Macaca fascicularis: one gene and its partner. The protein of the gene in region 1 interacts with the protein of each later gene in a pairwise test. Links are inferred from orthologs where the notes say so. Each region holds a gene or a part of one and is shown in the gene's direction. Other genes may lie near its edges. The genes, in order: USH1C and USH1G.

Region 1 (16,063 bases):
CTCTTCTTGGCCTGTGGCTACGCCTCCCCAGGGGAGGTTGGATTCAAATTATTCAGCCCTAAATTCTCTAGGGGAGCAAAGAGGTAGCCTGTGCAAACTCCAGCTCCCCTTACCTGGGTCCTGGAAGCCCAATACCAGAGACCCAAGATGCGGGTATGAGTCTGACCCTATCCTCTCCTTTTACAGAGGGCCATGCTGCGGCCCTGGGACATGCCACTCAGGGGTCAGTGGTCAATAGCAGAGCCTGTGGAGTCCTAGCCTATGTCCCACCACGCCCCACCTCAACTTCCACCTGGGTCTCCACATCCCTATCCTATGACCAGTTTTGAGCACCTCTAAGGAATGAATCATGCCTTAGTCCTCTGAATGCCCAGCACAATCTCCTGCCCTAGCTCAGGAAATGACGACTGAATAATAAATGTGTTTCATACTCCTATGTTGTTGCCACCATCAAGGCCAAACTTTGACAAAACAACTTTATATGTGTGAACAAGGTCCACTGTCTGCCCAGGAGGAATTTTAAAATGGTGAAAACATGGGACTGAGCACCTGGGGAACCTGTACATCGTTCACTTCATCAGCACTTAGGGAACACCAACTAAATGCCAGGTCTTACATAGGATGATGATGTTGGTGGTGGTGGTGGTGGTATTGGCCCCAGTAGACTCCTAGGCAAGGGCATAGATTTGAGATGCATTCATTCATTCATTCATTCATTCATTCACTCAACAAATTTGTTTGGCATTGATTCCATGTCATGCATTGTTCTAGGCATATAGTGGTAAAGAAAGCACACATAGCTATCTTCACACAGGAGGAAGCTAGGGGCACAGATAGGAAGATGAAGAGGAAAGAGCTAAGGATGCAGCCTTAAGGAACACTGGTTAAGAAATAGGCAAAAGCTGATTGTCTCCAAGGAAGCTTGAAAAAAAAAATTCATGGAAAGGAGAACTAGGTCTCAATGCTATTCTCAAAACAAAGCAGGGGGCATTTTAAGGTGGAGGGAGTCTGTGGGGGTGATGACCAATGTAAAATAAGGATTGGGGTGGCAGGTGAACAGCATTCTCCTGGGTAAGAACATTCACTCACCTCTGCCAGGATTCTAAATACAAAATAAACAGCCATATGACATTCTTTTTCAATGTAGAGAATCAATGAAGTAAGTCAGAGGGCAATGCATTTTGTGTGGCCTTTTCTGGACCATTCAAAAATCCCACAAGTCTTTCCCTTTTATCACTGACTTAATAGTTAATACTAAGGTGAGAAAACATCATATTTTAAGGCTCTTCTTCAAGAGGGATTTACATCTTAAACTAGGCAATAATTTAGCCCAAACAAAAATAGTGTGCTTGTAAAACTTCAGCTATTGGGGAAAGGGATGCAGAGGGGTGTTTAGGTGCCCCAAAGTTACAATCTTAAGTGGTTACCTGATGTAAGCTGCTGTCCATCTCCCTGCCCCTGCGCTTGACAGGGTGCAAAGGGCGCAGGTGCCTCCCTGGGTTAAGTTCAGGCACAAGCCCCATACTTAACAGCCCCTGATTTACACGTTTTTATCACCCCTCTCCTAGCCCCTCTTTCCTTTCATTCCTTTCCAGGCCTGGTTCATCCTTGTCTTTGCACCCAGCACCAGACCTAGGAGTTAAGCAAATGTTGACCAAATTGAATTAAATGAACCAGAGGGTCTGGGCCCTGGGTGAAGGTCAGCCATAGATCAAAATGTCACTGCCAGGCTCCGCCAGGCTTCGATGGATATGGGAGCGTGTTGGGTTTGGGTTTTGTTTTGTCTTGTTTTGTTGGGAGTGGAGGTGTTAGGGAAGGTGGGAGGGGAAATCACTTGAGAGGGCCATTCCCATACCCACTGGTTCAGACCCCTGCGGCCCACAGTAAAACCCGGCCCTGCCCCCAAGGAATTCACAGAGCAAGGATTGATTTCTCCCTGGTGGAAAAGTGCAGGAGGAAGCTAGGACAGAAGGTACGTTGAAGGTGAAGGCGTAGCAAGGGCTGACAGTCCAGGAGGGCCATGAGCCCTCCGGAGTATCCAGAGAAGATGGACTAGATTGCCCCGCCCCCTGCCCACCCGTGTGAATAGTTTCCGGATCTCTCTATTCCAGTCATCACAAAAATTCCCAAACCTCCTCCCTACATCTCCACGATCTTCTTCCTCAAACGCATGTGATCAGGTACCACGTCAAGAGAAATACCAGCTTGAAGCCCAGCTACTGCCACCACAGGCCCATAGGCACACTGGGTCCATTTGCTCCCAGGCCTCAGGGGGAGGCGACGATTGAGCACCTGCAACTCTAGCCTCGCAGCGGCCCCGCCCCACAGCGGCCCGGCCCCGCCCCTCCGCGCTCAGGCCGCGTCCCCAGCTCGGAGGGCGGCTGGCCGGGTCGCGGTCGCGGTTCCTTCCAGCTCCTGGCAGCCGGGCACCCGAAGGAACCGGTCGTTCAACGACACAGCTGGACCTGGCCCAGCCATGGACCGAAAAGTGGCCCGAGAATTCCGGCATAAGGTCAGAGCTGTGGGGCGCCCCAGGCTTCTGGGACTCCGGAGTCCTGGGCGCGGTGGGTAAGGGGTGGACACCCCGGCACTGCCCCTCCCTTTTCCGGCCCCACCTGATGGCTCTGGGTGGGCTGGGACACCCGAAGGTCGTTTGACTGGCAGCAGGGATCCCCAGTAAAGTGAGGGAGGGAACACGGGGACTCCGGGCTCAGGTACTGCTAAACAGATCGATCTTCTGCCAAGCTTTCTCCCTCTGCCTTCCAGGGGCGGGGACGTCTCGGGGGTTTGAATTCCTTCCAGTCTTGGCCGCTTCTCTGAGGTGCCCCCTTTGTGGGCAAGTCCCTCTCCTTCCTAGTGCCCCCAGCTCAGGGTTGATGAGGCTTGTGGAGAGAGTCTGGGGCAGTATCTGAGAGGTGAGTGTTGGGAGAAGGGAAACTAGACGTCTCTCTCTCTGCCTTTTGACCTCAGAACATGAGTTAGAAGCATTTCAGCCCTGCCTGCCTAAGGGCGTTTCTTAGGGCCTGAGAAGTAGCTGAGGAGCTGGTGCTGACCCGGGTGCGGTGGGGAGGAAGGGAGGAGGTATTGAGGGCGTGGGAGCTGGGCTCTGGCCAGCCAGATCCTTCAGGCAGAGCCGGGTCCACCCTGGCGTGTCCCAGTGAGGGGCCTCACTGGTGGTCTGGGATCCGAAAGGACCATCACTGGAAGCGGCTGGATTTTACACAGGGCATTTCCAGAACAATTCACAAAGCTATGCAGAATCTGCTGAGGCCCTGAGACCAGAGAGGGTCATCAAAGATATCCAGCCGACCTCTTCACCAGGCCTTAGGATGCCTCTGAGTCTGGGGATGAAGCCACGGAGGGTTGGGGGAGTGGGGGTGGAATCTGGATCTCCCCACAGGCCCTGCCTGAGGGGCAGGTAACTATTAACAACTGTGTGACCCAAGGCTCTCCCAAAGACCCCAGGGGGGCAGTGTCTTTAGACCAAGCCAAACCTCTTCCTGGTCTGAGGACTGAGCTCAGGTAGGGAAGGTCAGGGTCCTTAACCCCTTCCTTCCCATAGAGAGGCCCATAGGAGCCCAAGGAGCCAGCCAGAGTAGGGGCCGCAGGGGCTTGGGGCCAAGGGCCCAGGGTCAATTATTCATTTAATAATCATGTTTTGAGCATCCTCCCAGCGATACCCAGTCTGTGCCCTCAAATTGCTGGTGGTGTAGGTGGGAAGCAGACTCTACTCTGGTAATTACCCATGTCTGGGTGCTGCCTGTTGGGGCCAAGCTTTTGTAGGGGCACAAAGGGACAGCTCAAACTGGCAGAAGGCTCCTGAAAACATGGTCTTGGGCATCCCTGGTCCTGCTCCCACGGGTGGGCGATAGCTGGAAGTTCAGTAGGAATTTAGGGGCTGGCGAATGCCAAGGGGAGCTTGAGACAGCATTCACCGGTACATCCTGTTGCAAAGAGACATGTCGGAAGAAATTTCAGCCGCTAAGGACATTTTGTGAGTGTAGATTTCAGGCAACCCAGTTTGAAGGAGCTCAACCTTCCGTCCCCCAACCCAAGACTCAGGGTTGAATTTCACTTTCCTGCCCCTGGCCTGAAATAATGTCAGGTCTTCTGCCTTCACTCTGTGGGGTACCTACTCTGTCTCTTTTGCAAGAATCGTCTCCTGGGTCCCTGGTGTCTGATGCAGACCCTGGGTTTGCCCTGTTCCTCTTCCCCAGGTCCCACAGGCTTCAAAGGGCCTCCGACCTCCATGTTTCCTCTGCCCTACTCTTCCTCATCACAAGAGTCATTACTTATTAATATCCCTGTGTGCTGGCAGGGCAGGCGCCATGTGCTAGGCAAGGCCCAGGCTGGACTTTGTGCCTTGCTGCCTTGGAGACAGCCACAGCCTTCCCCTCCCAGGCTGGGGATCATCCAGGAACTGGGAGAGAGGATGAAGCAGCAGGGGATAGAGAGGAGGCACTCAGATATGCTGGGAGAAATTTACAACTTGCTGTTGTTTGCTTTGTAGGGGTACCTTCCTTAGTGTTTTGGAGGAAATGGTTTATGATCTAAATCCTTGGTTGTTGGAGGTAATATTTAAGGTAGTGTGTTATAATGGAAAATGCTGTGTGACCTTGAGCAACTCAATTAATCTCTCTGTGCCTCAGTGCTCTTATTTGTGAAAAGAGATAACAATATTTAACTAATAAGGTTATCATGAATGTTGAATGAGATCTACATGTGTGTGGGGAGCTTAAACAGACCCTAGCACTTAGGGAGCCCTCAATAAATGTCCACTGTTATTTATTATCTGGAGTTAGCAGAACTGGGACCATATCTTAGCCCTGTTACTGTCAGGAAGACCTTGGCCAAGCCACCCACTCTCCCTGAGTTTTAGTTTCTTCAGCTGTGAGATGGAGTTTGTGGTACTTACCTCACAAGACAGACAAGACTGACTAGCAATTAAAGTACTGGCTGCTCTGGGCCCACAGTAACCACACTTTTTCCAACTGATACCTGCAGAGTGTCCAGTGTGAGCCAACAGACTCCAGGCATCAACTCCTTTTGATTTGTGAAGTTACCCCAAGGTTGCCAGGAGCACTTGCATGCCCTTCCAATAACTAGTAGCAACCTTGGGCCAGGATTTGGGGGAGCAGGGCTTGGTCAGAGACTGTTTTCTCCCTCAGAGAAGCAGCTTTCAAAAGGAGACTGCTCCTCTGTTCGCAGCACCAGCACATGGCAGGAACTTGGTTACTCATTTGCTTAAAAGTATTTATTGCCTCTTCAGCAGTCACACATTTATGAGCATAGCTGTGTACTCTGCCTGAGGCCAGGCATTGGACGACCTGGTGGGATGAATAAGAAGATCAGAAACAGCCACCACTCTCTAGGAATTTGCTAATCATTCATTCATTCACATAGGCAATAAATATTGACTGAGTTCTCAATATATGCCAGGCAGTACTCTAAGCACTGAAAAACAAAATAATGCCCTTGCTCTCTTAGACAGTACATTCTAGTGGGGAGGACAGACAGTTAAAAGGAAATCGACAAAAGTATCGTGTAATGCCAGGTAGTGATAAATTATATGAAGAAATAAACTAAGATGGGGAGAGAGATAATAAGTAACAAGGTGGGCAGTCAGGAAGGCCTCTCTGAAGAGGTGACGTCTGAGCAGAGACCTGGAATAAGTGAGGAGAGGAGCCACGGGGATACATGTAGAAGAGCGTTCCCCAAAGTGGAAGCAGCAAGTGCGAAGGCGCTGAGGCCAGCAGATGCCTGCCTGTATGGAACAGCAAGTAGGACAGCGTGTCCCAGAGGAATCATTTGTAGATAATGGTGAGAAATGGGTCAGAGGGGTGATAGGGGCCTGATAGGCCATGGTTAGGTTGGGATTTTCTTATAGTGTGAATGATTTACATTTAAAAGGAATTTTCTGGCTGCCCTGTAGAGAATCCACTGAGGGGCCCAAGAGTAGAAGGGGGACCTCAGTCAGGAGGCTCCTGCAGGACCCCAGGCCAGAGGCAGGGGGTCAGACTCGGGTGAGAATGGGTCAGATTCAGGATACATGTTTTTGCTGATGGACTGGCTGTGAGTGTAGAAAGAGAGGCATCAAGGGTGAATTCACATTTGGGGGAGAAGCAGCAGGTTGGTGGAGACAGAGCAGGAGGTGGTGGAAACCTAACATTCCACTTTGAATGCTGTAAGTTTGAGACACCTACTAGAGGTGACTGAGAAGGCTGTAGGTCTGGCCTGGAGATAAACATCAGTAGGTCCTTGGGGGTGTAAGTGGTATTTAAACCCCTGAGACGGATGAGTTCACTTAGAGAGATGGTGCAGATGGAGAGGAGACCCAGGACAGAGCCTGGGGCACCACAACTTTTGGAGGAGAAGGAGCAGCAAGTGAGGGAGAACAAGAAGAAGCAGGGCATGATTGCTGTGCCAGGCACTGGGCAAAATACTACAAACTAGCTGACAGGTCAAGAGCCTCTGAAAAGATGAAGGGCACCGTTTATGGCCTTGATGGTGGTGATGCTTTCACACGTGCACGTCTATCCCCAAACTCATCAGGTTGTATACACTAAATATATACGGCATTTTACATGTCAGGCATACCTCAATAAAGTGGTTCCAGAAAAAGAAAAGAAGTCAGGTGCAGTGGCTCACACCTATAATCCCAGCATTTTGGGAGGCTGAGGTGGGAGGATTACTTGAACCCAGGAGTCTGAGACCAGCCTGGGTAACATAGCCATACCCCATCTCTACAAAAAATACAAAAATTGACTAAGTGTGGTGTTGTGCACCTGTAGTCCCAGCTACTTGAGGGGCTGAAGCAGGAGAATCAATTGAGTCTAGAGGCTGAGATTGCAGTGAGCTGTGGTCACACCACTGCACTCCAGCTTGGATGACAGAGTGAGACCTGGTCTCAAAAAAAAAGAAAAAGAAAGAAAGAAAGAAAAAGAAAAGAGAGAGAAAGAAAGAGAAGAGAAGAGAAGAGAAGAGAAGAGAAGAGAAGAGAAGAGAAGATGGATAATAAGAAAACAAGAGTTAAATAAAGCCTGGTACCACTGGGATGCACACTCTGAAGGCCTGGGAAGAAGTGTGGCTGGATCTATTCATCCCACTAACATCTACAGAGGGCCACTAGCTACCCACTGCTGTGGATATGGAATTTATATCCACTTATTCTCACTTAGTTTTATGTAACAAACACAGGACTTACTACTTGCCAGGCACTGTTCTAAACTCTTCATAATTATTAACTCATTAAATTAATACTAAAAAACAATTATTAGTCTCTCTTAGTGATTAAATCCCATTTTAAAAAGAGATGTTTGTACCCATTTTACAGATAAGGAAACTAAGGCACAGAGCGGTGCAGACCCAGTTGGGGAAGGGGTTCTTTGGCTCCACCACCACACTCACAACCCAGGCCTGCGTCTGGGCCACACACAGGCTTGTGGGGAGACAGGGGGGTAAAAGGAGAAAGTTCAGCACAGCTTAGAGAGTCCCATGGGGACAAAGAGTTGTTTGTGTGCACAGAGAAAGATGTGGCCAGCTTTGTGGGGGAGCCTAAAGAAAGACTTGACCAAGAAGAGGTGACATTTGAAGTGAATCTTAAAGGTAGAGGAGGAGTCCACAGAAAAGAAATACTGCTAGTACCACCACTGTTAATGGTTAACCAGGGTGGCAGCAGGGAGCAGGTGGCTCGTCCAAGGGGGAAGCCAAGAAATCTTTATGAAGAGTTTCTGCAGAAAAGGGCAGGATTAAATGACCCAACAGGCTGCACCCTGGGGCCAGATCCAGGAGGCCAGCACCCCTGAAGGGGCCAGGAGAGGGAAGGTTACCAGAACAGGTGAGAACCAGGACTGCCAGAGAGGCCCAGACAGGAGCTGCAGCCTTGGGCGGAGGAACCTGCCTAACTGTGGCCCAGCAGCCAGCCCCCAGGGACTAAGAGCCTCAGTTCCTGTCTCCCCATTCCTTTCATCTCCTGCTTGTACCTCCTGATGGCTGAACAAAGCAGGAAACCAGAGGGGAGGGGAGCCCAGACAGAGCCCCCTGGACAAAGGGCAAGATAGAGATGGCTGGAGGCATGAAAGGAAAAGATCTAGCACACATTTTGGAGACCTTGAAATGTCCCAGGCATTGTTATACATACTTTACATTTACTCACTCATTTAATCCCCACTACAGCCCAAGGAGACTTCATCAAGTGGAACAACATGCATTATTTAATTTGTTCTGACTCTCTTTCTCCCTGTTTGGCTGGGTGCATACCTAAAGTTGAATTTGCCTGAGTTAAATGTCCCATGGTTCCCCTCTGCAGCTATCCTGAAGCGTCAGTCCATATGGGGGAATACTGGGGGATGAGACTGGAGGGCACCACATGGCCAAACCGAGCTTTTGCCTCCAATATCCTAGACAAGCGGCCTGAAGATTGTGAGGGTGGAGAAGCTCCCTGTCCCCTCCTCCCATACAGACCGATAGCACAGTGCCAGAGGAACATCAGTCTTCGAACGCTCATCTAGGCAGGGCCTGCGGCGGGGGTCAGGGGAGCAGGGATGATAATAGAGATCCCCAACAGCTATTTGTAGACGGTGAGCTCCTTTAGGGCTTCTGTGCTCAATATCAAGAGAGATCCGAGAAAAGGAAAGGCTTTCTAAATCTAGTCGGAGAAAGAAGACTGGTGTCTTTCCCATAGTAGGTGTTCAATAAATGTGTAATGGACAAGTGCAAAACAAAGGAGTTATATTTGGTAAATGGATACCATGTGGTAGTTTGAAAAACAGCAGAGGTTTTGGAGCCAGCAGGCGTAGGTTGGAGTCTCAGTTCTGTCACTTCTCTGAGCCTCTATTTCCTCATCTGTAAAATGGGGATGATAATGTTCACCTCAGAGGGTTGTTAGGAGATTAAAGATAATACACGTAAAGTTCCTCAGGCAGTGGACAGTCAGTAGGGAGAGGCTGGCTGGGATAAGTGAGCCAGACAGGAAGAGCCTTAGGCTGGGAGGCAGGTGAGGAAGCTCTGGACTCTAGAAGAGGGGACTTGGGCCTCATCTGAAATGAAGGCAGGGTTCACATGAGAGGAGGGAAGCCATCCATTGTGGATAGATGGAATCGCTGGGACATACATTTTTGTGATGAATTGGAAGTGAACTAAGGGGAGGCAGACCCAGAATATATGTGCTGAGGACCAATGGAAAGGTGGTGACCCAGGCCTGGGCCAACAGGTCAGAAAAAAGGCTCTAGACTAGAGCAAATAGAGTTCACATTTCATCAACAGACGCCACTGGGCACCGTGCGCCTGTGTGCATGACATGGTTCTGGGTTCCACAGGGAAATGAAGAACATGTTTGGAAGGAAGGGAGAAAGGAGTGTGGGAGACTGACCTACTGCGTGCCTGGCGCTTTGTATGTACCTGAGCGCAGGGTACTGGGAGAATGGTACAAAGCACCCTAGAGCAGGGGCTCCCCAAAGCTGACCCCCGGGTTGGTGCTGGCAGCATTCCAGAAGAGAGGACACTATATAATTTTTTAATATTGGAAAAGTAATTTGATTTGGACCACAGGGAAGATTACAAAGAAAAAGGAATTTAAGTAATGGTGGTATTGTTACTGCACGTTCAGGCTTTAGAGAAACTTCCATCTTTCTCAGTTTTCTTTCTTGGTGCCTTTTGCCTGAAGAGTGAGGTGCGAGTGTGTGTTTTCATTCAGGTGTGGTCAGAGAACAAAGCAGTGCTGTTCTCTCTGAGTCTCTCTAAAATATTTCTGGGTGGAGAATGATCCCTCCCTTTGCAGGATCTCCTGTGTAACTAGTTTTCAAGTTTTTGATGATTTATCACTTAGATTCATATGTAAAGAGTATTCTGCATAAACCAGATCTATTTTCCCTGTTAGCTATTATGGTCTATAGAGAATTGTTCAAATGGACAAGTCAGACATGGTGGTAGATGGAATGTTCTGAGTGAGGACAAGGAGATTTCAGTGTATCAGGGGAAGGATCTGTTCCACTGCAGCTGAGTCCCACTTGGGATGTGGTGGAGGTGACCCTGGAGAAGTGAGCAAGGGCAGAACTGAGGACAGGGTTTGACTGACCTAACCAGTGACAGTGGGTAGACATGAGGCTGAAGAGCTGAGCTCTGCAGCTGTCTCGGGAGACAGGTAGGATGAGACCTCTGGGAGCAGTGGTCAGTGCTGGAGGGCTGCTGACAAGGGCCAGGAGCCTGGGACCTGCAGACACAGGCTCCTTTCCACCAAGACCGTCTCCAAATGATCTGTACTTGCCCCAGGGAAGGGAGAAAAACAGAACCCTAGACCCTAACATTGCAAGTTACCTTACTCTTCTACCTCAATTTTCCACCTAATGCACAATAAACATGGTCTAAGGAGGACAGTTCCTCACTACTGAAATCTAATGCTACAGTAGGATACATTTCTGCAGAGGGATAAGAGAGAACTTCAGTCCTAAGGCCTCAGTCAGTAAGAGATTCCCTCTCCCATCTTCTTTCTTGTGTCACTACCCGGGGTTAGAATTGCGCTAGAAGTCTTTGGTCAAGGTGTCCTCACTCCAGCCAAAGCAGATGGGATTTTTATGCTCCCCTTAGAAAGTAGAACACTTGGGTTCAAAGAGTCCTTCAAAAGATGCCTCATTTTCTCACTCATTATAGACCAACCCAAAGGTATTTTCTTAACAGTGCAGAGGAGAGAGATGGGGCTTAGAGATAGGAAAGGAGTTCTTGAAAGCAAAGGGTGTGAAATGTTGGCCTAAAGGGACCTTGGGAGTTATTTTCCCCTACCAGGCCTGAGTCACAATCAATGGTCGTGGCATAGCAGAAAGAACATGGGCTTTGGAGTCAGACTTGGGTTCCCATCCCGGCTCTGCTTATTAGCTGTGGGACACTGGGTGAGTTGACTTAACGTCTCTGATCCTCAGTTCCCTCAACTGCAACATGATGTGAGAATATTGGCCCCAATGTGATAAACAAATGGAATAAAGCCCATGAAAAGTTCCTGGTGCCACCGCATGGGGGTTATGGGGGCAACATCGTTTCCCTTCTTCTGCTGTTCCCATGGTTACCTCCCTCCCACCTGAACCATGTGAGCACACCAGGAGGCAGGCAGAGAAATTCATTCAATACTTCTTTATTGAGTGCTTACTATGTGGTAGGCACGAGGAATTTATAACAAAATAGACCTCATCTTTCTCCTCATGGGATTTTTCTGTCCAGCAAAGGAGACAGAGGAAACAATTCACAGAGAAAATAAACCTTAAATTACAAATCGTCATCGATCTTTGACGGAATTGAAACATCTCCAGGGTGCAGGAGTGGGTTCTGTCCAGGTAGGTGAGCAGGGAAGACCTCTCTGGAAAGGAGGCAGCCAGGCAGGGAAGTGGGGGAAGCAATCCAGGCAGAGGGAACAGCACACGCCAAGACCCTGAGGCTGGAGAGCGTTCGGCTTGTGGAAAGAACTGAAAGGAGGCCTTTGTAGCCAGGAATACTGGTAGGAAAGGAGATTTGGCTTTGATAAGTCAAGGTAAGGAGTTTGGATTTAGGTTTGGTTTGGGGTACAAGAAACTATTGAACAAGCAAGCGACATGATTTAATTTATAAAGATATTTCTGGCCCCTGCTGCTAGGAGTGTTCAGACTCCTCCTTCACAGCCCAGTGTGGGCAGCCCAGGCCTGTCTCAGGGAGCCACCCCCACCCCACAGGCCTAAGCAGAGTGGGTGAGAGAATCCATGCTATGTAGAGAGATGGGCTTTCAGAGGTGGTGCATGCAAGAGGCCAGCCTCCCACCCTAAGATTTAGTACCACCCACTCAAGCAGATGCTTCCATCTCCTGTCATCTAGCTGGTAGCTCCATTTTTTTTTTTTTTTTTTTTTTTTTTTGAGACAGAGTTTCGCTCTGTCACCCAGGCTGGAGTGCAGTGGCACTATCTTGGCTCACTGCAATCTCTGCCTCCCGAGTTCAAGTGATTCTCCTGCCTTGGCCTCCCAAGTAGCTGGGATTACAGGGGCACACCACCACGCCCAGCTAATTTTTGTATTTTAATAGAGACAGGGTTTCACCATGTTAGCCAGGCTGGTCTCAAACTCTTGACCTCAGGTGATCCACCCACTTCGGCCTTCCAAAGTGCTGGGATTATAGGCGTGAGCCACCGCGCCTAGCCCTAGCTGGGAACTCCTTGCACTGAGGTAGGGAGAAAGCAAGGGTGCCCTTTTGGAGCAGGTGGGCTGAACTTCTGTAGCAACTGAAACCCAAGCTGTGAGTCAAGCCTCCTAAGTTATTCTCACCTTTAATGAAATGCTCAGCCTGATTTTATAGGGAAGGAAGTACTGCCAGATCCAGGCCAGAAATTTGCATTCTGTAGCGCCTGTTCAGGCCAGAAATCCCAAGGGCTAGGCCCAGCATGTCCCCTCTGTGGTGGGACAGACAGACTGCCCTGGTCTTCCAGAACCCTTGGGATACCCACAGAAAGAGGTAAAGCTGCTCTGGCCCTCTTCTGAGGACCAGTCAGTGGAGAGCATGCAACTTCCAGCAGCAGCCTCTCTATGAAGGGCTGAGGCCCTGGGCCCGGAGGCTGGAGGAGAGAGGGACCCAGTGACCCCTCAAGCTTCCATCTTGCTCTGTTACCCATTCTGGGGCTGAAGAGAGACCCAAAGATACAGGGTAGAGATTCACACTGAGGTAACTCAGGGAGTGGAATTCAGGGCCTCCTACTGGGATGGAAGTACTAATGACACAACTCCTGAACCTGACCTTAGAGTCCCAGCCATTGACGTCAACAAAGTTGAAATGATGTAACCTGACTCCCCCTGCAGGGCTTGTGCAGGGGCCTGGGAAGGGGGAAGGAGTGGCCAGGAAACTGACTAGTGGACAGAACTCAGGGCAACCCAACTAAGGTCAGGACAAGACAGAGTGAAGGTCTCCTGGCATTGATGTTACAGAAGAATTCGGTGGTAAGGGGCTTCTGGCGGGTGGCATGTGCTATCTGAGCGAGTGGCCCAAATCCTTCCTGAAAGCATTTATCCGGCACTACAGCCACCATCAGGTAAGACAGTGGGCTTCTTCTGGCCACGGATGACACAGCCATGGGGGTGAGCAGCAGCATTGCCATGGCAGCGTGTCGTGTCACATGGGGATTCACATATGTACATATGTGTGTGCATCCCCGTGTGTGCACATATTGCCCCACCTGGGGACGAGGGGTGCCTGGCCACATCTGGAGGGGCAGCAGTACTCCTGTGGCCACGTTGGGGTGGTCTGCATAGGTCTGATGCATTGGGGTCAGAGGGGCAGTCTGGCCTGTGGCTTCTCTCCTCTCCTCACAACTCCAGCCCTGAAAAGATGCTGGGGAGGCCGCTGGGGGTGACCTCTCCTCCCTGGGGTCTGCTATGGAGGGTGCTGAGCCTGGAACTGTGATTCTCCTGTTGGATTTTTCAGGTGGATTTTCTGATTGAAAATGATGCAGAGAAGGACTATCTCTATGATGTGCTGCGAATGTACCACCAGTAAGTGTGCTGGGTCCAGCTCCTGTGGACCACTCGGGTTCCTCTGTCTTCAGGGAGTCCTGGGATGGGTTGTTCTGAGACAGAGGAGCTCAGAGGGTGGATGCTGACTGCTCCTGGAAATCAAATGGACATAGCATTCACTCATTTCAGCAACTATTTATACAAGTACTTTGTACTTGGCTTTGTACTAGGGGCTGGGGTATACTTGTGAGCAAGACAGATTGGTCTCTGTTCTCAGGTTGCTTACAGTCTGATGGAGTAGGCTGTCTAGTAGCCAGATAGATTCAATAGAGAGTGATTGTTGGAACAGAACAAGAAATGCCAACTGGTCACAGCCCTTGCATCAGATGTCTCTGATCACCCACTTGCTTTTTGATTCATTTTGTATACTTTATAAGCTCCTGCCACTGCTGGGCACTATGCAAAATCTGGAAATGAATTAGATCCTCTTTCTTTCCTTGAGTAACTTGTGGTCTGGTGAGGGGAGATGAATATACACTACAAATGCAAAGAACTCTAATGTAAGTTATATCAAATAACTGCTAAGTAGAGGTAAAAGCAGAAATGTGAAGAAAGGAGTTTTCCTTTCCAACTGAGAGGGAAGAGAAAGGACCAGGAAGGCTTGAGCAAGGCTTTGAAGGATAAGAAAGATTTGGGGCCAGGCACGGTGGCTCATGCTTGTAATCCCAGAACTTTGGGAAGCTGAGGCAGGAGGATTACTTGAGCCCAGGAATTAGAGACCAGCCTGGGCAACATGGTAAAATCCCATCTCTACAAAAAAATACAAAAAATTAGCTGGGTATGGTGGTGCGTGCCTGTAGTCCCAGCTACTTAGGAGGCTGAGGTGGGAAGATCACCTGAACCCAGGAGGTCAAGGCTGCAGTGAGCCATGATCGCATCACTGCACTCCAGCCTGGGCAAGACAGCAAGACCCTGTCTCAAAAAAATAATAAAAGAAAAAGATTTGGGTAGGTGGAATATCAGAGAAGGGCATTCCAGAATGAGGGATCAGCATTAGCCGAAGTGTGGAGGCATGAAAGCAAGGGTGTGAATGGGGATAAGTAACCTGGGGGAGTAGGACTTGGGAGGACACAGAGATCGTAAATAGCCACAAGGCTGGAGAAGCTCCACGGGACAGGTCATGGAGGGCCCTGAGCGTGCTGAAAAGAGTGGACTTTGTCCTCTGGGCAGTAAGGAGCCATCAAAGGGTTTTAAGCCAGGGAGTGCCTTACACTGAGAAAAGATGAAATGACAGTGAGTATGTGGGCAGGCAGCTGGAGTCGAAGGTCTGAACAGCGTGAGGGAGGAGGCACGTGAACTGTGGTGAGGTGAAACTGATAGAGCTTAGCAGTAGATACAAGTGGAGATGATGAGTATGTGAGGGGTCCTTAGCATCTCACATAGAGCTTTCCCCTCTGGAAAGATCCCAACATCAGAGATAGTTTGAAATCCTGGCTTCATTTCATCTGCAAAATGGGTCAACAATCCCTAGCGGGCTGGTTTCCTGGGGGCATTTTTATGAGAGAACAAAGCCTTCTCAGGCACTGGCCCAGTGTGAAGGGCTCTGGGCTTTTCAGGAGTGGTCTCCTCCATTCCTAAGCCTGGGCCCAGTGGCTGAAATGGCTTCCTCTTGGAATCCCTGGGTCCCTGAGGTCATGGCCAGGGGTGAGGCTCCAGGCATTCCCGGCATCTCCACAGGACCATGGACGTGGCCGTGCTCGTGGGAGACCTGAAGCTGGTCATCAATGAACCCAGCCGCCTGCCTCTGTTTGATGCCATTCGGCCCCTGATCCCACTGAAGCACCAGGTGGAATATGATCAGCTGACCCCCCGGCGCTCCAGGTGCAGTGGAAGCCACCAGGCTGGAGGCAGGGGGTGGAGAGGTCACCCTGGGATGGACAGAGTTCCTTGCTAGTGGGCGGGGCAGTGCTGGCAGCCAGGCTGCACCATCACCGACCTCTCCTGTGTGGCAGGAAGCTGAAGGAGGTGCGTCTGGACCGTCTGCACCCCGAAGGCCTCGGCTTGAGCGTGCGTGGTGGCCTGGAGTTTGGCTGTGGGCTCTTCATCTCCCACCTCATCAAAGGCGGTCAGGCAGACAGTGTCGGGCTCCAGGTGAGCAAGCAGAGTCCAGAGGGAGGGGAAGCGAGGGCCTCAGACCTCCTGCCTCCCCCTCACTCATCCACTAGGCTGTGTGGCACAATGTGGTCACCCACTTTTCCGAGCCTTTGGGTGAGGAAGACGCTGGCGCATCCTGACGGGTGTTCTTAGACTCATAGAAATCAGGCCGCAGGCAATTGCCTGTTTTCTTGAGTGAAGCTGGAAACCTGGCTGCTGCCTCCTTGCAGCTGCTGCCTCCTTCCAACTGCTGCCGCTGCACTTCCCCCCACCTCCCCTATTCCCCAAGAGAGGAACATGGTGACACCGGCACATGAAGTTTTGGACATGTTGCCTTTTACCAGCAGGGGGAAAGAAAGCCTGGTGCAGTGTGATGCCAAAGAGCACAGACTCTGAAGCAGGGCTAGCCGGGTTCAATTCTGGCTTTTCTCTTCATTAGGCTGTGTGACTTGGT
Region 2 (16,066 bases), on another chromosome or scaffold:
GGAGGCCAGGAATCTGCCCACATTCTTCCACATGACGTACAGCATGGTGGAGGCGAAGAGGCTGTACTCGATGTTGAAGGGATAGAGGTAGAAGTACCCCTGCTGGAAGATCTGGCAGACAGCCGTGCTGCAGAGGCAGGAGTCTCCTCCGACTGGGTTGCCCGCACGCTCTGTCGTGGAGAGAGAGACACAGGGCTGGACTGCCCTCCCACCTTCCTAGAGAGGTCTCACCCCTAGCCTGTGACCCTTTTTGTTTTGTTTTGAGATGGAGTTTCACTCTTGTTGCTCGGGTTGGAGTGCAATGATGTGATCTTGGCTCACTGCAAGCTCCGCCTCCCGGGTTCAAGCCATTCTCCTGCCTCAGCCTCCCAAGTAGCTGGGATTATAGGCGCCTGCCACCACGCCCTGCTAATTTTTGTATTTTTAGTAGAGACAGGGTTTTGCCATGTTGGCCAGGCTGGTCTCGAACTCCTGACCTCAAGTGATCCACTTGCCTCAGCCTCCCAAAATGCTGGGATTACAGGTGTGAGCCACCACGCCCAACCTAGCCTGTGACCTTTGTTAAGGGCAGGGTCCCTGTCTTTCACGCCTGCTATATTCACCATGGTATCCCTCATGCCTTCACAGGGCATGGCACACTTCTTCACTTCATAAACATTTCTTGAGCACCTACTGTGTGCCAGAGACTGGGATACATCAGTGCTCAGTAAGAACAGTCTAGGCCAGGTGCAGTGGCTCACACCTGTAATCCCAACACTTTGGGAGGCCAAGGTGGGCGGATCACCTGAGGTCAGGGGTTTGAGACCAGCCTCACCAACATGGTGAAATCCCGTCTCTACCAAAAATACAAAAATTAGCTAGGCATGGTGGCATGCACCTGTAGTCCCAGCTATATGGTAGGCTGAGGCAGGAGAATTGCTTGAACCCAGGAGGCAGAGGTTGCAGTGAGCCGAGATCGCGCCACTGCACTCCAGCCTGGGCAACAAAGTAAGACTCTGTCTCAAAAACAAAACAAAACAAAACAAAACAAAACAAAACAAAGAAACAGTCTGAACCCCAGGGCTGCTCACTTTACCTCACTCCATTCCTTCCATCCCTTCCTGCTCTGGCTCCCTGAGAGAGAAAGTGGCTCTTGGGAACCTCTAAAGTTCAAGCTTCCTCACGGCTCTCCCCACCATCTGAATCAGCCCAGAAAGCCAGCTGCTGTGCCCAAGTCTCCACCATGACCTCCCATTACTTTTGTTTGTACCACATGGAAGGGAGTCTTGACTTGACTCCAGAATGTATTTGTAGGATACTCTGGGCTTTGGCAAATGTCTCTTTTCATCCTAAGAACTAGCCCTGCTGGTTTTGCAGATGAAGAAACTGAAGCTCAACGTGGTGACGTGACTTGTAAATGCAGAGTGGATGCAAACTGCCTGACTTCTGACCCTGGGACAGGCACTTCTCCGGCAGGCCTCTCTCTCCAGTCTGCAGGCCCCCACGTGAAGTCCATCATCTCCCTGGTTTGGTTTTGCACCCTCAGGAGTCCTCTTTGTTCAGGGTGGTCCTTTGTAAGGCTCGCTGGGCTGGGGTCTCCCTGAGGGTGGGGGCCATGCTTTTTGTTGCTGGACCTTCCCATGCTAGGAGCATGCATGTCTTAGTTATCTTGTCTGGTCCTGGCTATTGGGGGACCCTAGAGAAGTCCAGAGAATGAAGACTGGAGACTGGATCCCGTTCCTCCCTAGTTTAGCATATTGGTTAAAAACAAAGATGGATATGAACGCTAGTGCTAGACCTTGGGTGAGTTACTTAAGCTCTCTCTGCCCTAGTTTCTGCACCTATGCATGGGAATGGGGAGAGTACCCATTTCACAGGGAAGTCTTTTTTTTTTTTTTTTTTTTTTTTTGAGACGGAGTCTCGCTCTGCCGCCCAGGCTGGAGTGCAATGGCCGGATCTCAGCTCACTGCAAGCTCCGCCTCCCGGGTTCACGCCATTCTCCTGCCTCAGTCTCCCAAGTAGCTGGGACTACAGGCGTCCGCCACCACGCCCGGCTAGTTTTTTGTATTTTTTAGTAGAGACGGGGTTTCACCGTGTTAGCCAGGATGGTCTCGATCTCCTGACCTCGTGATCCGCCCGTCTCGGCCTCCCAAAGTGCTGGGATTACAGGCTTGAGCCACCACGCCCGGCCCACAGGGAAGTCTTGATGGTTAAATGCGGTGTTTAAAACACTCAGCACAGTGCCTGACATACAGACCTCAGTAAATTGTCACCATTAACATTAACTCACAAAGCACCCAGCCCAAGGCCTGGTAGCCACAGGGCCATGATTATTTTTCACCTTCTCCTCCTCCCCGGGCTCTCCCATCTGATCCATGCTTCACCAAAGAACCGCTCTGCCTCCCTTCTGCCTTTCCCAGCTTGATCACTCTTGCCCTTTCTTCCTGGATTCTGGGTCTGGTCTCTCTCTGTCTTTTTTTTTTTTTTTTTGAAACAGGGTCTCACTCTGTCACCGAGGTTGGAGTGCAGTGGCGCAATCACAGCTCACTGCAGTCTCGACCTCCCAGGCTCAAGCTATCCTCCCACCTCAGCCTCCCACAGTAGCTGGGACCCCAGGCATGCACCACCACACCCAGCTAATTTTTTGTAGAGATGGGGTTTCATCATCTTGCCTAGGCTGGTCTCGAACTCCTGAGCTCAAGCAATTCACCTGCCTTGGCTTCCCAAAGTGCTGAGAATACAAGCATGAACCACTGCTCCTGGTCCTGGGTCCTTCCTGGTGGGATGGAGACTGGACGGGGGGCCTGGGCTGCAGCTTCAAGGATAAAAGGGTGCCCCGATACTTCCCTTCTGGGGTCACCTACACCTATCCTGCAGAGGTAGATCCTGCAGCAGGAGGAGGTCCTTGGCTCTCTCCTTTGCCTCCATGCCCTCATGGGAGACTGACGTTACAAACTCATAAAGCACCCAGCCCAAGGCCTGGTAGCCACAGGGCCAGCATTAAGGGGAAACTCACGGTCAGAGGCGAGATGGGCGTGGCTGGCGTTGCTGTGAGAACTGCTGTAGGAGTGGGATTGGTGCACAGATTCATCCACCACAGCCGCCATCCAGATGGCCAGGTTGGTGGTGAGTGTGAACATGAGACCACACCTGTTTGGGGTTGGGGGCAGGGACAAAGAAGCCTGTGACCCTTTGGCAGGTTGGGGAGCAATACTGAAAGCTGGTGTTGAGAAATGAGAAAGCAGCCAGGCCTGTGTGAACAGGGAAGCTGATTTTGCTAGGAACACAGCCTGGCTGGTATGCCACCCAAGACAGGGCTAGGAGATTTCCCCGGGGGCCACCACCACTCCCTCCCCTGGGAGAAAGGGCCCCACAAAGTAGTGGAAGTCAGCCTGACAAAGCAGGGAGGCCTTGGCTGCAACCCCACCCAGGGGACATAAAGAGAGGCCCTGCTCCGGGGTGGAAAGCCCAAATCTCTCCTGCAAGGTGAACACCAGCATACTGGGCACAGGCATGGAGCTGCAGCTCTCACCGGGTCAGATTCAGATGGACGTGAACGCAGTCTTTAGCGGAGACCCAGAGGAAGTAGGTCTGTATTGAGAGACATTGGTGAGAGTCATTTACTCCACAGATGGACAAAACTCCAGTGCACCCATGCCCATGCCATCTTGTTCTCTCCACCTGAGGAACCTTACACCGAGTCATCAGGTTCATTTTAGCTTCACAAAATGAGGCGGGGGCTGGGTATGGTGGCTCACACCTGTAATCCCAGCACTTTGGGAGGCCGAGGCAGGTGGATCATTGGAGGTCAGGAGCTTGAGACCAGCCTGGCCAACATGGTAAAACCCCATCTCTACTAAAAAAACCAAAAAAATTATCTGGGTGTGGTGGTATGCACCTGTAATCCCAGCTACTCGGGAGGCTGAGGCAGGAGAATCGCTTGAACCCGGGAGGCGGAGTTTGCAGTGAGCCAAGATTGTGCCACTGCACTCCAGCCTGGGCGACAGAGTGAGACTCCATCTCAAAAAAAAAAAAAAAAAAAAAAAAAAAAGGAAAAAGAAAAAAAATGAGGTGGGGAACACTGTCTCTTTCTATTCTGACACAGTTTGTATAAAATAGTGGTTCTCCATTCTTTAAAGGTTTGCAAAACATCACATGTAAAACCCTGCCCGTGGTGGGGTTTATTTTGTGTGGAGGTGGGGGTCAAGTAGATTTCTGACTACCTAGTTTTTTTTTTTTTTTTTCTGGGAGCAAGGCCAGCCTCAGGTTAGGTCTTGCTCAGGGTGGAAGGAGCCTCTGTGGACTTCTCACCTTCTTTTGACAACATCCCCTGCTCATCCTCTTCCTCTGTCGCCATACCAGGCCTTGCTACCGTCTGGCTGCCTGTGAATCCCTGCTATGGCATTTGGTGATGTGGGGATATCTATATTTTCATTTTATCTGAGTATTCTTCAAACCCATAAAATATGAAAGACTAAAGCTACATAAGTGCCACAACCACACGTGTGCTGAACTGTGAAAACCTGGGCAGCAGGGGTGATGTTTCTGGGGAGGACATCATCCATGACGCCATTTTGGTCATGATAGAGGGCTGGGGGCTGTTCTGATCCCATCTAAGCCCAGTCCCGTCTCAGCTCAATCAGAAGATCTTTCAAAGTATTGTTTATGCAACAACAACCACAAAATGAATGTTTGAGAAATCCCAGTTACAGGCTACCCTACTTTCCAAACAAATACAGAACAGAGGGACCAAGCTGGCAGGAGCCTGGACTGATACAGAAGCCCCCTACGGGTACCCAAGGAGGGCAGGCCAGGTTCTAGGAGACAGGGCTGGCTGTCACAGCTCACACCTCCTAGGTGTTAATTACTGGCACTGCTTAAGTTGAAATAACATTGCAGAGCTCCAAGTGGGAGCTCACGTTGGGATATTACTTCATTATGAGGTGTTTCCGCATTGATGGACTCCTGTGATGCTCTCTACAGCCCTGTCCCCAGTTTACTTAATAGCTCAGGATACGAGGCGGGTGGAGCTCAGGTCTCCGACCCCTTGTTGGGTCCTTTCCAATGGCCAAGTGTTAGCTCCTTTCTTCCACACAGCGACACTTACCTGGATGATGACAAACACAGCCTGGATGACAGGGTGCAGGATCTTTATGGCTGACTGGCACTCAAAGAAACTGGAGTAGTAGCCGGTCTTGAAGATATCCATGATGAGGGTGCAGATACCAAACAGCACCAGTCCACCTGAGAACCAGGGCGAGTGGGTGGTGGTGGTAGATCAGAGAGGCAGGAGAGAAGGTCTGCCCAGCTGAGGACAGGCCCTGAGGATGGGAAGCTAGATGGGTGGGTGGACAAGTGAGTGAGCGCACTGTTGGATGGATCAGTGGGGAGGGTGGGAGGATAGGTGGATAGGTGTATAGACAGACTGAAAGGTGAATGGGTGGATGGAAGGGTGAGTGTATGACTGAGTGGGTGGATGGATGGACCTGCTACCAAGCCCCCGTCTCTTTGGGGCTGTGTGGATACCGCAAAGGGCCCTGGCTGGGCTCTTTCAGTGACTGCTGTCTTCTGGTTCCTGCTCTCCATCAAAGGCCCTCCCTTAGCCAGCCTTCTCCAATCTTCAGACCAGGGGACAAAGAGGTCCCACCCCATCCCTCTATTTATCCCTTCCCCAGGACCCCTTCCCTTCCTCTTTATCCTTAACTGCAGCCCACCTCACCCTCCGGTCCTCCTGGTCCTCTCTAGGCAAACTCTCACCCTTATATGTCACCCTGGGCTCTGCAACTCCTGTGAGAGCCCTAGCCTGCAGCTCCCTGTTGTGCCCACCCCACCTCGCCCCCACCTCCCCTGGCACCTCGGAGCCAGATGGGGCCAGCGTGCGCGTCCCGGTAGGGTACCGCGCAGGGGCAGCGCACGGTTCGGAGGAGGTAGAAGAGGATCCAGAGCATTGCCAGCAGCATCATCGTAGTGAGCAGCGCGAACACGTCGGTGTCGTACACGGCCACCTTGTTGAAGGCTCCGCCGCTGATGAGCGTGCAGGCGAGGAGCAGCACGTTCGCGGCCAGCAGCACGGACAGCAGGCGGCCGCCCTTCTTCCACACCTCCCTGGGGCCCGCCCGCGGCGCCGGGGGGCTCTCCTTGGGGCCCGGGGCCAGCTCCTCGGACATGGCGGGGGCGACTGGAGAAGACTAGAGGGATTACTGTCGGGGAGGAGCGGATAAAACTCCAGGTCAACCCCGACAGCTCTCTTTCCCCCATCTCATCCCTAGATTTGGGGACTAGGGAGTTCCTGACCCGCAGGGTGGGGGCTTCAGGTGCTGGAGGAAGCGCTGGGAAAGGGGAAGAGAAAACACGGAACCTGCCCCTCTCGCTGGACAGGAAGAAAGAAAGGAGAAGCGGCAGCACCCGGTTGGACCCCTCCAAGGTCCCCACTCCCCAAGTCCGACTGCCCTTTGGCCCGGGGCACCCACCTGGCTGGGCCTGGAGCCGGCGCTGAGCTGGGGGTCAGGGGACGGTGAACGTCTCCTCTCTCCCACGCCGGGATGGACAGGCGCTTTATACCCAGGCGGACAGGGTGATTTACAGCTGCGGGAGTTCGGCTCCATAAAGCTCTCAGTCCCGCTCACATGATCCATCTTTCTCCAAGGTGAATTTAGGGAAGAGCCCGCAGGAGCCAGATAAGGCAAGATTCATATTTACCCTTTGAGAGGCGACCCCACTCCGTCACCCCGGTGCGGCCAGGCTCGGGCGCGGCCCCGCACTGAGGCACCCAGAGGGCACCCCGCCCCCGGTGCCCACCGCGCCCTGGCGTGCAGCATTCCAGGCGCCCAGAGCCCCGAGAGCTAAGCTCAAGAGACGTCCCAAAAGCCCGCGGGCACCCTGACGCCCTCCAGCCGCGACGCACCCTGAATCCTGTGCTCCTCTGCTCCTGCTCGGGGTGGGAACCCCAGCCCCCCTCTCCCCCGCAGTCCTCGCAGTGATCCAAGCTCTTTTTTCCTTTATCCCACCGCCCTGCCCGCGCCCCCGCCGGCCCGCGCTCTGCTGGATGCTGCGAAGTGCAGGGCTTGGGTGCGAAGTTCCACGCGGCGCACGGAGCCGCTGCTAGTCCTCTAGCGCCCTCTGCTGGAGCGCGGTCGAGGGACTCCGTGCGGGCGGCGGCGGCCTGGCCTGTCCCACTCGCTGACCATACTGCGGTCGGTGCTGGTGCCCCTTCTTAGGTCCACTGTCCTGGGGCTCAGGACGGCTCACCCACCCCGCCCTCCGGCACCCCTCCCCAGCTCTCGGCTCGTTCCACTGACAGGTGGAGAAATAGGAAGCCACAGCGCCCCAGGCTCTAGTGAGGACAGACCCCTGACTGTCCCCGGACTGGGCGTTACAGGGCGGGGCCCCGGGATGGGCACTTTTGAAGAGGAGGGCAGGGCCTTGCGTGGGTCACCCTCGTGCGTTGAGGTGCATGCAGGGTGTTTAGGACCCAGGGGAAGACCGGGGGCGGCTCCCTGGACAGAGGGAGATTTCGGCTCCCCCCGCAACCCCCCTCCGCCGCCGGGTGAGCGGCTCAGATGTCCCGGTAGTCGCGGCTCTGGCGCTCCGCACCCTCCGTCTGCGGCAGCGGGGGCTGGCGGTCCCGGCCCCTGCCCGGCCCCCTCCCCCAACCTCATGCCTCAGCCCTAACCCCGCCGCCCTCCCCTGCGGGGGGCCTTTCTCCGTGTCCCCCGCCCACTCCGTCCACTTCGGGCGCCATGAACGACCAGTACCACCGGGCAGCCCGGGATGGCTACCTGGAGCTCCTCAAGGAGGCCACCCGGAAGGAGCTGAATGCCCCCGATGAGGATGGCATGACCCCAACTCTCTGGGCTGCCTACCACGGCCACCTGGAGTCGCTGCGCCTCATTGTGAGCCGCGGGTGAGTACTCCCCACCCAGCGCCCTTGAGACCCCTGAGACCACCCCAGACTCCCTGGGATCCATCCTCCACCCCTCCTCTGAGCTGCCTCCTTCCCCTGCAGACAGGTGGACCCTTAGACCCTGGCGTTTGTGGGAGAGACACACGTGGAGGGGGACCCAAGCAGAGGCATCTGACACTTGTAACACTTGTGACCTCGATCTGGGGCTAGGAGGGGGAGAAACCGGGATTTGGGGGTTCCTGATTATGGGGGGTTGCTGCAGAGTGAGGGGAAGGTGGGAGAGATCCCCTGGCTGGGGTCCCCCTGAAAGTAAGAGTGAGGGGCTTAATGAGACTCGGAGAGAAGGCTGGGAAGTCTGGAGGGGCCAGCAGTGGGGCTAGAAAGGGTGGGGTCTTCACTGCCCACTCCGCAGCCTTGGATCCAAAGGGCTTTCCCAGCCAGCACCCACCTTCCCTGGCAGGCTGGTGTCACACAGCGCTTGCCCCGGGATTTATGGACACTGTCCAGAGCGCCAAATGTCACTGATTCAGCCACCCCATTAACTCTCTCCAAGTCCCTCCCCCACAGCCGGGCATAGCTAAGCAATGGGGAGACTGTGATGTGGCCACCCTGAAGGGGCCTCTCTCCCCTCCCCCTCCCTTTGGAGTTGTCCTAGGGCGAGGGGTGGGCATAGAGTGCAGGTGTCAGCGCCAGGGAAGGGGCCTGGAGGTGGCAGTTAAGCCACCTCCAGGACTAGAGCCACTGACATGGGTTCCTTGGGGCTAAAGTCAAATGACTGTGACCAACTCCCTCAGCCCCAATGGCTTTATAAAGAGGAGTCAGGTTGGTCTGAACACCAGGGCGGCCTGGACAGGATGAGGGGTGGACAGGACACCCCAGGAGGGTTGATATGAAGTCTCAGGTCATGGGAGAGAGGGCTGGGGCCCAGGCACTGGCCTATGGCCTGATCATGTAGTGGGTGCTGGAGACCCCTCCCTCTTGCCCCCTCCTTGGGCTGCTCCTTGGGCCCAGCATCAGGTGGGAGCAGCCTCGAAGCCTGGGCAGCTGAGCCATGTCCCGGGAGGCCAAGGCTGACTGGCCCCTCCTCATCCCAGGAGAGCACACAGTGACACTGTCCCCTGCCATCCCTTCAGAGAGGCTCATGGGAGGAAGGGAGAAGGGGAAGAGGTCTCCCCTTGGGTATGCCAAGCCCCAACTCCTCCAGAGACCAGGATTGGTGTTTGATGGGGTGTGGGTCGGGTGCTGGCAGGCCCTTCCCACACTGGCCTGTAGGACTTGGTGGCCAGGAGGGGAGGCCCAGGAGGGAGTGTGTGAGGAGCTGTTGAGACAAGGGAGTGATTCTTCCCCCAGCCCTGGGGGTTGGCCTCGTGGCCTCATTAGTGCAGGGCAGGGGTGCTGTGCTGGGCCCCCAGGGGAGGGAGAGCTCCGGAGGAGTCTTGGGAGCTTGCCCTGAGGGACACAGTCTGGTGTGAGGGGTGCTTGTGGGGGCTGTCAGGGGTCCTGGACAGGCTCAAGTGAGACAGCCTTGAAGGGATAACAAAGAGGGGGCAGCCTGGGGAAGGGAGGGCTTCGGAGCGCAGGCAGCTGATTTCCCTCCTCCTCCCCTCCAGTCCTGGCTGCCCCTGCACTCCCCTCCTGGCCCAGGCCAAGGCCCGACACTTCCTCTCACACTGGGGCTTGCCAGGGCTGGCCCTGCTCCCTGCAGACAGGGCCCTGCCTGCTGACACACAAGCCCACACCTCACACATGCTAACCCGGGGCTAGGGCCTGGTACACATCACCCTCTGGTCTGTTCTCTTTTACGGTCACTCGGCACACGCAGCCACACTCACCACCATGCCTGCCTAGAGACCCAGACGCGGCCCTGGCCCCCCAGTGCTCTGGCCAGCTCTGTGCTGGGCCTCATGAATAATTTACTCCCTTCTCTCAGGGCATCAAATATTTATCCCCTGAGATTCCCAGTCCTCAGTTAGCTTGGGGAAGGTCCCGCCCCGGTCCCGCCTTCTCTGACACCCCACCCCCTGCACACCTGGGGCCATTTTCCCCTGGGCTCACCCCTGGGCTCACCTGTTGGGTGGCTCAGGCCTGCAGGTCTCCTGGAGTCGAAGAGGTCTCAGGCCCACGGTCCCTTTGGGGGTTGCTGTGACAGTGGGGGAGCTCCCTTCCCCCCTCCACTCCCTCCACCTCCATCCCCAGCCAGGACTCGTCACTAGTCCCTCCTGGATGCTTTCCCTGCAGGGGTGACCCGGACAAGTGTGACATCTGGGGCAACACACCCCTGCATCTGGCAGCTTCCAATGGCCACTTGCACTGCCTGTCCTTCCTGGTGTCCTTCGGGGCCAACATCTGGTGCCTAGACAACGACTACCACACGCCGCTGGACATGGCTGCCATGAAGGGCCACATGGAATGCGTGCGCTACCTGGACTCCATCGCGGCCAAGCAGAGCAGCCTCAACCCCAAGCTAGTGGGTAAGCTGAAGGACAAGGCCTTCCGCGAGGCGGAGCGGCGCATCCGCGAGTGCGCCAAGCTGCAGCGCAAGCACCACGAACGCATGGAGCGGCGCTACCGGCGCGAGCTGGCCGAGCGCTCCGACACCCTCAGTTTCTCCAGCCTCACGTCCAGCACCCTGAGCCGCCGGCTGCAGCACCTGGCGCTGGGCAGCCACCTGCCGTACTCGCAGGCCACGCTGCACGGCACGGCCAGGGGCAAGACCAAGATGCAGAAGAAGCTGGAGCGGCGCAAGCAGGGCGGCGAAGGCACTTTCAAAGTCTCCGAGGATGGGCGCAAGAGCGCCCGCTCGCTCTCGGGCCTGCAGCTGGGCAACGACGTGATGTTCGTGCGCCAGGGCACCTACGCCAATCCCAAGGAGTGGGGCCGAGCCCCGCTCCGGGACATGTTCCTCTCGGACGAGGACAGCGTCTCCCGTGCCACGCTGGCAGCCGAGCCTGCCCACTCGGAGGTCAGCACCGACTCAGGCCACGACTCCCTCTTTACCCGCCCCGGCCTGGGCACCATGGTGTTCCGCAGAAATTACTTGAGCAGTGGGCTGCACGGACTGGGCCGCGAGGATGGGGGGCTGGACGGGATGGGAGCGCCTCGGGGTCGGCTGCAGAGCTCCCCTAGCCTGGACGATGACAGCCTGGGCAGTGCCAACAGCCTGCAGGACCGCAGCTGTGGGGAGGAGCTGCCCTGGGACGAGCTGGACTTAGGCTTGGACGAGGACCTGGAGCCCGAGACCGGCCCGCTGGAGACCTTTCTGGCCTCTCTGCACATGGAGGACTTTGCCGCCCTCCTGCGGCAGGAGAAGATTGACCTCGAGGCTCTGATGCTATGTTCTGACCTCGACCTCCGCAGCATCAGCGTCCCCCTGGGGCCCCGAAAGAAGATCTTGGGGGCCGTGAGGAGGCGGCGGCAGGCGATGGAGCGCCCGCCGGCCCTGGAGGACACAGAGCTGTGAGTGTCCAGCCTGGCAGGGGGATGGAGGAACAGGAGTTGGAAGGCCCCTGGGGAGGGAGTACAGATCTGCCTATTCAGGAGTAGGGGGTGGGGGCTACTGTATTTCATAAAATCGAAATGGGGCCATCGATGATAAAAGGCCCCCTTATTTTATTTACCACCAGCTCAGAAAAAGAAGTTGCCAATTTAATGATGACCCAAGGCATTCTTATCACAGCTAGTGTAAAGTGCACCTCGATTTTGGGGACATCAACATGTGGGGAAATGGTCGTCTTAGTGTCACCGAGTTTCAACAGTCACGGGAATCACAGTTGGGGTGTTTTTGAGCCCTCCCACCTCCCAGGTGCTGGGTTGTGCCCTTGAACAAGTTCTCTTGCTTAATCCCTCTAAAAGCCCGTGTGCCCGGACTGTATTGGTGGATTATATCGTTCCCATTTTATAGCGGATGAGCAAGTGGAGGCTCAGACAGTTAGAATAGCTCACCTCAAGGTCCTGCTGCTGCTCAACATGGAGCTGGGCTTGATCCCTGGTCTGCATGGCTTTAGAGCCTGGGGTCAAGGTGGCTCCCATGGGATGCAGGGCTTGCAGTCAGCAGGGCCTCTCAGTTGCCCAAGACCTCAGGCAGATTTTTTTTTTTTTTTTTAAGACAGTTTCCCTCTTGTTGCCCAGGCTGGAGTGCAGTGGCACAATCTCAGTTCACTGCAACCTCCACCTCCCGGGTTCACGAAATTCTCCTGCCTCAGCCTCCTGAGTAGCTGGGATTACAGGGGTGCACTACCATGCCCAGCTAATTTTTGTATTTTTAGTAGAGATGTGGTTTTGCCATGTTGGCCAGGCTTATCTCGAACTTCTGACCTCAGGTGATCTGTCCACTTCGGCCTCCCAAAGTGCTGGGATTACAGGCGTGAGCCACCGCGCCCGGCTTTAGGCAGATGTTTTACCTGCTATTCCTGAACTCTGCAACCAGGAACGTGGGCAAACGCTCCCAAATGCTCTGGAGGCAGAGTTCATGTTCCAAAGCCCGTCATAGTTGGCCAAGGCCGCTGCCACAATGGTCATGCTGTGGCCAGCCCCTGCCCTGGCCCCTCCCCTGCAGCATCCCACAAGCCCAACAAATGCTGTCCTCATTTCCTCTTAGGTATCTATGGCCTTTATCCTGAGTGGCTGGGGCAGGGAGGGTGTGGGGAGGCAGGCTGGTTTAGAGTTTTGGGGATGGGGAGGTCACCCGTAGGCTGGCATCCTCCATCCCTGACCATCAACCTGCTGAGAGATGGGAAGGCTAAGTTGTCCAGATGGCTGTCCTGGGTGAAAAGGATGCCTCTAAAGGACCTCACGTGAAATCTGTTTCTTTCTGTCTCTTCCTCCACAGATAACGGGGGGCTCCTCTCCCCAGACCAAAATGAATTGCAAGTTGCCACAACCTGTGGTGGGGCCTCAAGGTCCTCACAGTCGCCAGTCCTGCAGCCCCCTTCCCCAGGAGCAAGGACCACGTGGGTCGACTCCTTTGAAAGGCTGTCCACACCTTGAAGCAGAGGGTGTAGCCTGGAGGCACCAGAGGGGCAAGAGAATGTCCCCTCCAGTTCTGAGGGGTCACAAAGGCCCTGAGCCACCCATTCTGAGCAGCCCTAAAGGACATGTAGACTTGGGGGAGGCTTACCCCAGAGGGAGGGCAGGGGCATGGAACTGGATGGGAGTGTGGGAGGTGAATGCCGGAGGGCGTGCCTGTCCCGGGCCCCTCCCCTGATGGTCTTGTTCTCTTGTGCTCAGGCCGGAGACTTGCTCACTTCCTGCATTTTTGTGAAGGGAAGAGTTTGGGCTGCCTCCCCTCTTCCAGTCCACCCCAGAGGGGAAGTTCCTCAGCCAGACTCTTCAGCCAAATGCCCCAACTTTCAGTCTGCACCCATTCCAAGCACAGCCAGCATCCCCTCCTTCAGCCAGTGGCCAAGGCCCGGAACTGGAGAGCCAGGCTGGGGGTACTGACGCCCTTCCCAGCTCATCCAGGGATGGAGCCTGGCCTGTCTTCCTCCAGCCTCCCGCTTTTTCATTGTGCAGCCTGGCCCCGCCAGGGACCCCAGAGGGCCAGGGCACTAGATGCAAGGTGCTAGACCAACAGGCTGCAGTGTTATAGCCCCCAGGCCTGGCAGGCATGCGCTGGGCCAGAGAAAGGTGTCTGCCAACCTCCTCAGTCTCCCAGGCCTGGGACAGGCAGAACAGGGTGTGGCTGGGTGTTGGGCCTGGGTTGGGTAAGTCCTGCGATATGGACACTGGAGAAAGTGGATAATCTAAACTGCAGATTATCCCCAGGTCACCAGGGCTGTGTGTGTGCGTGTATGCATGTGTGTGCGTGCATGTGTGTGTACGTGTGTGGTGTGTGTGTGCTTGTGTGTGTGTTCTTGCGTACGTGTGCACGCACATGCATGTGTGTGTGCGTGCATGTGTGCGCACGTGTTTGTGTTTATGCATGTGTGTGCATGTGTGCGCGTTTGTGTGTGTTTATGCATGTGTGTGCATGCGTGCACATGTGTGTGTGTTTATGCGTGTGTGTGTGCATGCGTGCGTGTGTGCGCGCTCACCTTGGGTGTTGTTTGGTAAGTTTCCCTCTTTACCAAAGAGGGGCTGGGCTGCTGGATCGGGGCTAAGGGAGAGCTCGCCTGTGTCCCAGCCCTGTGATGGTGAGACCAGGGGAAAGGCCAGCTCAGAGGGTGGTCAGAGCATGTGTCCTCAGACATGTGCCCCCAGAGCTCTCCAGCCAGACCGAGGTCACAGATATGGGAGAGTCCCTCAGGAGCCCGCTGACATGTGTGTGCCGCTTCGCACCCCATGCAGAGGTGCTCTCCTCCTTCCTCAGCCATGGCCCCCCATCCCTGACCTCAGCTTGGGAAGCAGCTCCTGCTGGGAGCATGGCCACAGTCCCCAGCTCCTCCCGGGGCCCCCTTGGCTGGGGTAGGGGAAAGAGAGCCCTCAAAGGCCTCTTTTTGGTCTGTCCGGGGGTTCCCATTCCCATATACATGCCCAGAGTGGGGGCATGGAGGAGATGGTCCCTGTCCTATTGCAGGACACTGAGGGCTTGGCTGCCTGCCACTGCTATCTGGAGCCCACCGCAGTGCTTCTCCCTGTTCTCTGGGCCTGAGCCTGGGGCCACCCCCAAGTGCCGACTTGTTTTTCCCAGAGCCCCAGGTGCTGCCCCTTCTCTCCCATTCCTTGTCCATTTACTGCCGCAGCCCCTCCTGATTCTAGCCAGTGCTGGGGTGGAGCAGGCTCTGTGTGCCCACCACTGTAGCCCGAATCCCTCCTGCAGGCTCATTACCACTTTTGTAGAGAATGTTCTCCACCAGTGTCATGCCTGTGTCTTGTCCTTTAATGCTTTGGGTATGAAGAGTGGGGGGTGGGGGTGGGGCGGGAGGGGTCTTCTCTGTGCTTGTGAGGACTGGGTCCTGGGCCCTGTTCTCTGGAGTGTCTTCGAGCCCCCATGCTATGCATCTTTGAAGAGATCCCTAGGCCTTTACCCTGCTCTCCTAGCTCAGTCCAGAATGAGGAGCTGGTGGAGAGGCAGGGCTGAGAACTAGGGCAGGAGAGTCCCCCCGAGCAAGGAGGATGACTGAGCCTCCAGGCTTGTTGCCAGGGTCTGCAGCTGTGGAGGGCAGGAGGGTGCGTGTTCTCTCTTCCCACCAAGGCCTGCCTGGGCTTTTCCAGAGATGGGCAGAAACGTACTCCAGGAGGCTGCCGCCCGTCACCTGGGCTCTGGGCCTCCAGAGGGGTCTCCATGAGGGCCCTCCGGAGGCCCAGAGGGGTCTCCATGTCCCACATCACCACAGGCAGCTCATGGGCAGCCTGATTTGAAGCCCTGCTTTCTCCCAGGGGTGAGTCCCCTCTGTAAGCTGGTGCCTAGTGGGCTCTGTTTTCTCAGTCACGTCTGAGGAAGGGCCCTGGAGTAATCTTGCTCCATTGCCTAAGGCTGCTGGGCGAATTTTTTCTGCCAAAGGGAGTTCAAGACAGTTCCCTTCCCCCAGCATCAATCAGAAAGGCCCCCAGGATGTTGATGCAGCAAAGTTGCCTAGCAACCATCCAGGGGTTCCAAGCCACCTCTCTCCACTTTACAGATGAAAAAACTGAGGCCCGGCCGGGCGCGGTGGCTCAAGCCTGTAATCCCAGCACTTTGGGAGGCCGAGACGGGTGGATCACGAGGTCAGGAGATCGAGACCATCCTGGCTAACACGGTGAAACCCCGTCTCTACTAAAAATACAAAAAAAACTTAGCCGGGCGCGGTGGCGGGCGCCTGTAGTCCCAGCTACTCGGGAGGCTGAGGCAGGAGAATGGCGTGAACCCGGGAGGCGGAGCTTGCAGTGAGCTGAGATCCGGCCACTGCACTCCAGCCTGGGCGACAGAGCGAGACTCCGTCTCAAAAAAAAAAAAAAAAAAAAAAAAAAAAAAAGGCCGGGCGCGGTGGCTCAAGCCTGTAATCCCAGCACTTTGGGAGGCCGAGACGGGCGGATCACGAGGTCAGGAGATCGAGACCATCCTGGCTAACACGGTGAAACCCCGTCTCTACTAAAAAATACAAAAAAAACTAGCCGGGCGAGGTGGCGGGCGCCTGTAGTCCCAGCTACTCGGGAGGCTGAGGCAGGAGAATGGCGTGAACCCGGGAGGCGGAGCTTGCAGTGAGCTGAGATCCGGCCACTGCACTCCAGCCTGGGCGACAGAGCGAGACTCCGTGTCAAAAAAAA

Evidence for each region.
Region 2: the proteins of USH1C (region 1) and USH1G interact in binary tests that used the Homo sapiens proteins (3 or more experiments, as listed by UniProt). The link is inferred for Macaca fascicularis from reciprocal best matches to the Homo sapiens genes USH1C and USH1G.

What each region holds. Positions count from the first base shown.
Region 1 is NC_088388.1:48,236,726-48,252,788, forward strand, and holds the start of USH1C (harmonin), read left to right. Parts: upstream 1-2,348; 5' UTR 2,349-2,476; coding exon 2,477-2,512; intron 2,513-2,766; exon of another isoform or gene 2,767-2,915; intron 2,916-13,426; coding exon 13,427-13,494; intron 13,495-15,192; coding exon 15,193-15,336; intron 15,337-15,467; coding exon 15,468-15,606; intron 15,607-16,063. UniProt on the Homo sapiens protein: Anchoring/scaffolding protein that is a part of the functional network formed by USH1C, USH1G, CDH23 and MYO7A that mediates mechanotransduction in cochlear hair cells. Required for normal development and maintenance of cochlear hair cell bundles.
Region 2 is NC_088390.1:81,272,681-81,288,746, reverse strand, and holds USH1G (pre-mRNA splicing regulator USH1G), read left to right. Parts: upstream 1-7,536; 5' UTR 7,537-7,718; coding exon 7,719-7,882; intron 7,883-10,120; coding exon 10,121-11,338; coding exon of another isoform or gene 11,339-11,342; intron 11,343-12,710; coding exon 12,711-12,714; 3' UTR 12,715-14,681; downstream 14,682-16,066. Other genes in the region: proton channel OTOP2, read right to left, coding at 1-170, 670-672, 2,996-3,129, 3,512-3,570, 5,087-5,223, 5,834-6,146. UniProt on the Homo sapiens protein: Plays a role in pre-mRNA splicing by regulating the release and transfer of U4/U6.U5 tri-small nuclear ribonucleoprotein (tri-snRNP) complexes from their assembly site in Cajal bodies to nuclear speckles, thereby contributing to the assembly of the pre-catalytic spliceosome on target pre-mRNAs.